2 linked regions of the Schizosaccharomyces pombe genome follow. Changing the gene in region 2 together with the main gene of any one other region gives a genetic interaction. Each region holds a gene or a part of one and is shown on either strand. Other genes may lie near its edges.

Region 1 (3,758 bases), on a different chromosome or scaffold from region 2:
AGTCTGGTATTAAAATTCAAGTCAATGAAAATGAAGAAGCTCCCGAAACCGCTGCTAATAAAGATAAACAAGAACTGAAATCGATTGCTGACAGTCTACCACCTCCATCCTCTCTTGTGGGTTTTAGACTAACTCCGGCAGAATTTGAAAAGGACGATGACTCTAATCATCACATTGACTTTATAACGGCTGCATCAAATTTGCGTGCCATGAATTACGACATCACACCTGCGGATAGGTTTAAGACGAAGTTTGTTGCCGGTAAAATTGTACCAGCCATGTGTACATCAACTGCTGTCGTTTCAGGACTTGTATGTCTTGAGCTTGTTAAACTTGTTGATGGCAAAAAGAAGATCGAGGAATATAAAAATGGATTTTTCAACCTTGCTATAGGGCTCTTTACATTTTCTGATCCTATTGCTTCTCCGAAAATGAAAGTCAATGGTAAAGAAATCGACAAAATCTGGGATCGCTACAATCTCCCGGACTGCACACTTCAAGAGCTTATTGATTATTTCCAAAAAGAAGAGGGGTTGGAAGTGACCATGCTTTCATCTGGAGTTTCTCTTTTGTATGCTAATTTCCAACCACCTAAGAAACTTGCTGAAAGGTTGCCTCTCAAAATTTCTGAATTGGTTGAGCAAATTACTAAGAAAAAACTAGAACCTTTCCGGAAACACTTGGTGCTTGAAATTTGCTGTGATGATGCCAACGGTGAAGACGTTGAAGTTCCATTTATTTGTATCAAGTTGTAATACCTTTGAGAACCGGTTAATTCCTGGAATTTGCAACATTTAATGCCAATGGCTCTAATAAATTTACTAAATTAGTATTAGCAGTCTTTAAAAAACATTAATAGGCATGTATGAATAATTTATTATTTTTCCTATACTCTTTCTAATTTTTATGAACTAAGATCTGTTATATTTTAAAAAGTATTTTGACATGTAGTAAAATTGTTGTTTTTTTGAGCAATTTTTTTAACGTCGGCGATTGGCATTTACGTAAGTTTCGACTGCTAACCTCCTAATTTACCTAAGAGTATATCTTTACTCGGCTACAAAAGTCTATCGTATACATTATATTAAATTTAACTAGAATTATTGCCAATGTCTACTGCCTCAAAACTTTGTATCGTCGGGGCCGGTGTCTTTAGTGTTTACATGGTTTATTTCGTACATAATAATCAGATTATTGAACGAGAGGTAATATTTACTTATATTAAAGAAAATATGCACCATAGCTAATGTAAGTATAGAAAATGTCGGCGGGAGTTCAAAAAGATGATGAAAGGAAAAGAATTAAAAAAGAAAGGTTTGAAGACCTAAAGCGACAACAAGAGTTACGAAAATTTTACGAAAGCCAGCTACCTGTTGAAGAGGACGAAAAGGGTCTCCGACAGACAACGCAAACAACAGTGAACGACTAAAACCAAGTTTTTAACACAGATTGGACGAATCGAAATTATAGACAGCTTGAAACCTATAGCCTCGGACTTCCAGTGTTCAGCCAATTTATCCAGAGCAACTTATTTACCTTTACTATACATTAATATTTTTTTCATCTTTGCCAGATTTTAAGGATTTAATATTGAGAAATTCAGCTCGGTTAAATAAAAAAGAAGTAACTACATCTAGAAAACGGCATAACAGGGTGTGTTAATCTTAGAGGGTTATAGGCAAAAGAGCTAGTTTTTTGTTAACATTACTCAAAAAGGAAATATAAATCAATTTACATTATGCTATATATTAATGAAATTTACTTTATCCGGTTATTAGTAATATAAACTTGTCATAGTTTACTGGTTATTCGTTATAATGGTTACTACCATCGTAACGAGGTAAGTATGCCGAAGTGTCTTGAGATTCCTTAATGTGCGAATGAAGTGAATGGTGAAGGTAGTTTATGTCTGACAAATTCTAATACATTTCACTAGCTTGTTGAAAGATTTCAAAACTGAGTAAATTTGACCACCACTTAATGGAAATTTTTCTATTCTTTTTATTTTATATAAGCACGTTCATTTTCTAACCTGTTATTTTTCTACTTCATGAAATGAGTTCATCTTCCTCAAAACCCGTGAATACTGGGTTGGTTACACCTCGCCGCTATTCTACAATGACTGGCATACGGACTGGTCCATCTCAGAGTGGAACAGGGAGTATTCCATATTCCCCAACGTCACCATTGTCCCGAAATTTTTCGAACTATTCCATACCTATGCTACGAAGCAATAGCACTCAAACAAATGTAAATGGGCCTACAGCATTTGATTTGGGAGTTACAGAGAAATTGATGTCTCCTGGAACTTTAGATAGATACACGCGTCCTGCCTTGTATCCGTCGAAGGACTTGGATTATTTAAAAAATGAGTATGTTAATTATGAATCTACAACAAGTCAACAAACCAATTCTAAAGGTTTAAAAGAGAGCAACTTTGTTGGTTCAGGAATTATCACAAGTATACGTATTCGACCTATTGGTAAAAACCAAGGTGTATGGTCACATGGCAAGTTAAGCAATGACCCATATGGTCGTGAATACATTCGCCAGCAAACAAGTACAAGCTCGTCCACAATTCAGCAAGAATATCTTTTTAATAATGTTTTTGGGATGGAATCTAAAAATTACGATATATACAAACGTTCTGTTAAGTCGGTTGTCCGTAATGTTTTTTCCGGATATAATGGAATAGTGTTTGCTTATGGAATGACCGGCACAGGAAAAACATATTCTATGCAAGGTACGGAAAACGAACCTGGTATTATTCCACTTGCCATGAATGATTTATTTGAAATGGTTGAAAACAATTCTGATGACGATACCTTTCAAATCCGTATATCCTATTTAGAAATTTATAATGAGAGAATACGAGACTTAATCGGAAACTCGGACGAAGAGCCAAGAATACGCGAAAATGCATCTGGAGAAGTCAATGTTACACCATTAACTCGAGTTCTCGTCACTAGCCCCGAAGAGGTTAGTCAGGTTATTGAACAGTGCAATGCAATCCGAAAAACAGCAGCAACCGATTTCAATACGTATAGTTCTCGTTCGCATGCAATTCTTCAGGTTTTTCTTATTCGAAATAATCCTACTGCTCACACTTCACAAATTTCGAGTCTCAGCTTGGTGGATCTCGCTGGAAGTGAAAGAGCTTCAGCTCACCATGAAAGACGCAAAGAAGGAGCATTTATCAACAAATCTCTTTTAACATTAGGAACTGTTATTTCTAGGTTGTCAGCAGCTGCAAATCCTTCACTTACCTCAAATTCAGGACATATACCGTATCGTGAGTCTAAGTTAACTCGTCTGTTGCAGCAATCTTTATCCGGCCAATCACAAATATCACTTTTAGCAACGATAAGCATAGAATCCAACCATACGATGGAGACTACTAACACGCTTAAATTTGCATCTAGAGCTCAAAATTTGCCTCAAGATATTCGCCAAGCGGAAGCTGTGACTAATGTTCAAGCTGAATTAGCATCTTTACACTCTGCCCTTGAAAAGAATGCCCAAGAAGTTGAATATTATGCTTCTTTGGTGAAGCAATTGACTTCGGACTTAGAGGAACGAGATACATACATTGCCATGTTAGAGGCAGAGCGTTCGCAAGGAACTGCTATAAGTAGAGCTCGTTTACGAATGGAGGAATTGCTTTCTGACCATAATTTCGAAATTGCAGATCTAAGAGATGAATTACAAGATAAAGAACAAATTATTTATGCTCTTCGATATGCTCAGAAGCAACGGGA
Region 2 (3,758 bases):
TTGACTATAAGTGGGGTTATTTTTCTGCAGAAAGGTCAATTCCTGATAAGTTCTGGAAATTTCATTAAGCGTGTCTTGCTTGAGACGATTCGCTCTAATCAAATCTTCTTCTTTTTCTCGAAGCTGAGATTCATACTCCTCTGCTAATTGAGAAAATTTCGAAGATATTGAAGGAATTGCCTTAACAAAAGCATGCGATGAGCATGATGGCGAGATAATAGCAGGGCTTATTCCGGAAAATGAAAAAGCACTATGCGAAGCATTTGAGTTTGACTGTAACAATGAATGTGGCTTTTTGTCAGCTTCCAAAAGATACTCGGAAGCTGTACGTCTTTGTCGGTTAGGAATAGAAGGATTGGCGTTATAACTTAATAAAGAGTTTACACAATCCATGGCTCCATTTCGAGCAGCAATTAATAGAGAGGTATCTCCATTTGAATCTTGTAGATTTACCAATCTCACAACATTTTCAAATGGTTGAATCGATATTAGTTTCTCTAATATGCAATCCAAATAGTATTTGGCCGCTGCAACTTTTGAAGGAGTTGAGGTTGATTGCACAATATGATGAAAAATTGACTGACCATTGGTGTCAACAGCATAAATAGTAGACTGGAGAAGCTCAAGCACTTGTCCAAAAGTTTGGCAGTCATAATTATTGGTAAAGATAACACTCCTCATCAATGGTGTTTGACTCAGTCTGTTACACACGCCAATGTCAGCATTGGCTCTCAGTAATAACTTAATCATCTCTATATGTCCCATTGAGCATGCCCAATGAAGAGAAGTGTGGCCATCATCATCAATAACACTGTTAACTTGAAAATCCGGGGGCGGCGAATACAGGAAGGAAGGAATGCGTCCCTCTTCTGGGTGAAGAAAGAAGTCAAGTAGTGACTCTTCATATTTGTCAAGCGGTGCCTCCAACATGCCTAACTCTTCAACAGGTTTTATAGTGTTATCATTTGGTGATAGCAGTGCATTAGGAGACGCTGGCAGAGGTGTTGCAGAAACTTGCTCCTCTGCACCAGGCAAATTCACTTTATTCATAGATGACTCAATTGTTGGTGATATAGAAGAATTCGGTTGTTTTTCATTGACGGAATGCAAAGTGCTACTAGAAAGTGACGACGGTTTACGGCCTCTACGGCCACGTACAGAAGGCTTTTTCTGCTTGGTCTGCTTCTTCTTTGGAGCAATTGCTTTTCCCTCATCAATGTCAAGACTCAATATTGGGCTCATTATTCCGTCAACCTTATACTTTGTGGCCAGGTCGACCCCACGCTGAAATGGAACCCAAGTTCCTATAGTTTGGTTAATACCGTCAATCATTTAGAGGACGCGTCCATAGAGATATTTAATACAAAAAGGTATTAAAATACCTCGATTTGGCTTAGTAAACACTCAATTGTTCGCGTTGTTCAAAGATAGCAAATCATGTCACAACGCGTAACAGTAGACAACTTACCCTGATATTTTCCATATCCACCTTGTACTTTTTCATGCGCACCAATCTGTACTTGTCTTTCTAAAACCCTTGTCCTTTGTGGTTTGTCAAAGTCAGCCACTTTCAAGATTTGTGTAGCATTCAACCAGGAATCGCGGCGTCTGCGCATCACAGAGACACCTTTAATAAAGCATTCATAGACTTCAACCCCAGAATAAACGGCAACATGTACTGCGGAAGAACGTGGAGCCATTACAGCAAAAGGCAGTTAAAATGCGTAGCGCGGACTCTTAAAAGGGTGCATGCATTGCGTTCGCTCACCCTACCTGCGTATACACATAACAATAGGGAAGGGTGGGGCAATACAGAAAATCAACTATGTAGTTACTGAATATATATTAGCACTAATTAAATAATGAGTATTCACTTAATGAAAGGAATCAATGGGAAGTCTCAGTTGCCAAAGAACTACACTTGTAATACTGAATTGCAAAGGAATTTAAATTACCAAAATTTTAGATATGTTATTAAGTAGAAAAAAATCTTATATATATTCCACTCAGAATTCATCTGCATTATGAGCATTTTCCAAGTAACGTATCGTCGTAGTCGCCATCTACAATTTTTGCTATTCTTCTAATTAAATCATAATTAATTTCGTCGTTGACCACGCTGTCTTGCTTATAAGAAGGATGAGTTGTAATGAAATTGCGTATCCACGAAGCAGCAGTCAAGCATTGGCCATTTGCTCTTTGAGAAATTAGGCGAATATAACGTTCAATTAGGCAAATAGTTTTGGCATCAGGATTACAAGAGTATAAATAGCTTCGAACAATGGTAATTAAACCTGGGAATCCGTTTTCACGGTGCTCACCATTAAATAACTCGTCAATTGTAAGTTGACGGAACTGACCAGATTCATCATCAGTACTTGCGTCAGGAAATGGATTGCAACGGAACCAAAACTTTTTACGATGAATGGCATCACGAGCATGAGCAGCTTTCATGTTTTCATCCACTAGCGATATCGGCATGTACAGATTCAAATTGAAGGATAGAATTGCACGAGAAAGCATCACAACAAAAATTGAATATGCCGCATTTTCAAAATCAGTTATTTGAATTTCCATTGATCTAAATTCTACACGCCAACCAATATCACTACCTGGTGGAGGAGGTTTAAAGCGCATAGATTGCCAGTTAGTTGAGTTTAGGTTCTCAAAATGAGCATTGGATACACTGTTGTCTTGTAAAATGCTGTCACTGAAAATAACCAAAGGATCACGAGAGAATATGTGAGCCATGTGCTTAGCCAATCTTTCATCAATGCAATCTTTTATTAGCTTATCGTAGCAATCTTGATTTATAACGACCGGGACGTCATTATATTCCGGTAAATTGCGCTTGTCATTCGAGATATATAAGTCAACAGAATCATACCTTGATTTTGGCACAGTTTTCATTTCTTCCTCGGTTCGATCATCGACAGCACCAGCAATCACATTCCATCTACAATCTTGATCAGCCAAATAGCCTCGAAATGCTGGAGTTCCGGCAGATAATGCCAGCATCAAGGGGGTAATAGGAGTCAACTGATCGTATAAAAGTCTAGCTTCATCACAACTTTTAGCTTGGAATGTAATTTGTAGACAACAGCATCCCATACCGAAACCCATACTGTCCATGTAAATATGATTGTCTAACGCTGCACCATCTCGTGCATTTGCATCTTCAGGAAACAAATTTCTATCCCAAGGAACGGTAGGATCGTGAAATGGTTTAATTGTATTTTTATCGAAGAAAATCGGAACATTCATGGCCACTTTTCTCCCGCGCCTTTGACGAATATTAGCAGTCAAGGTCGGGAAACGAACATGTGTGTTGATAACATCGTCCGGTAAGAAAAAAGATCGCGAAATTGCACCATTGGCTTCGACTTCTGGATCCGTAAAGCCTGGTGTTCCAAGACGAAAGAAATTAGTAATTGTTAAAGGTAGCTCATTGGGTAGTAAATGGTTTTCAATAATTTTTCTTCTTAATCGCATATTGTACTCTACAAAAGTAAAATCCTTTAAAGTGGAACCATAAGGCGCACCTGGTGTACTTTCCAACATATAACGACCATATTCTGGATGGAAAGTAGGGACCGCGTTCTGCGCATGTGGTTTGGTGGAACTCGTAATTTCTATAGTATCTTTGTTTGAATTTCCTCCTATGCGTTCGACATAATCAGCCGGGTTTTTAGCCACTTCAGATAAAATGGCGTCTATTTTCTTTGGGCAGGTTTCATTCCTCAAAGCGGCATATACAG

Evidence for each region.
Region 1: mutations in res2 (region 2) and tea2 together harm fitness more than expected from each alone (negative genetic interaction), as found in Schizosaccharomyces pombe (3 studies listed by BioGRID, with this or other methods).

What each region holds. Positions count from the first base shown.
Region 1 is NC_003423.3:3,891,146-3,894,903, forward strand, and holds the start of tea2 (kinesin family plus-end directed microtubule motor Tea2), read left to right. Parts: upstream 1-1,911; 5' UTR 1,912-2,055; coding exon 2,056-3,758. Other genes in the region: uba1 (ubiquitin-activating enzyme E1), read left to right, coding at 1-755; Pet117 cytochrome c oxidase assemby protein, read left to right, coding at 1,110-1,205, 1,259-1,429. UniProt on the Schizosaccharomyces pombe protein: Promotes microtubule growth, possibly through interactions with the microtubule end, and is important for establishing and maintaining polarized growth along the long axis of the cell.
Region 2 is NC_003424.3:684,535-688,292, reverse strand, and holds the start of res2 (MBF transcription factor complex subunit Res2), read right to left. Parts: upstream 1,759-3,758; 5' UTR 1,701-1,758; coding exon 1,469-1,700; exon of another isoform or gene 1,305-1,468; coding exon 1-1,304. Other genes in the region: glutamate-cysteine ligase Gcs1, read right to left, coding at 2,023-3,758.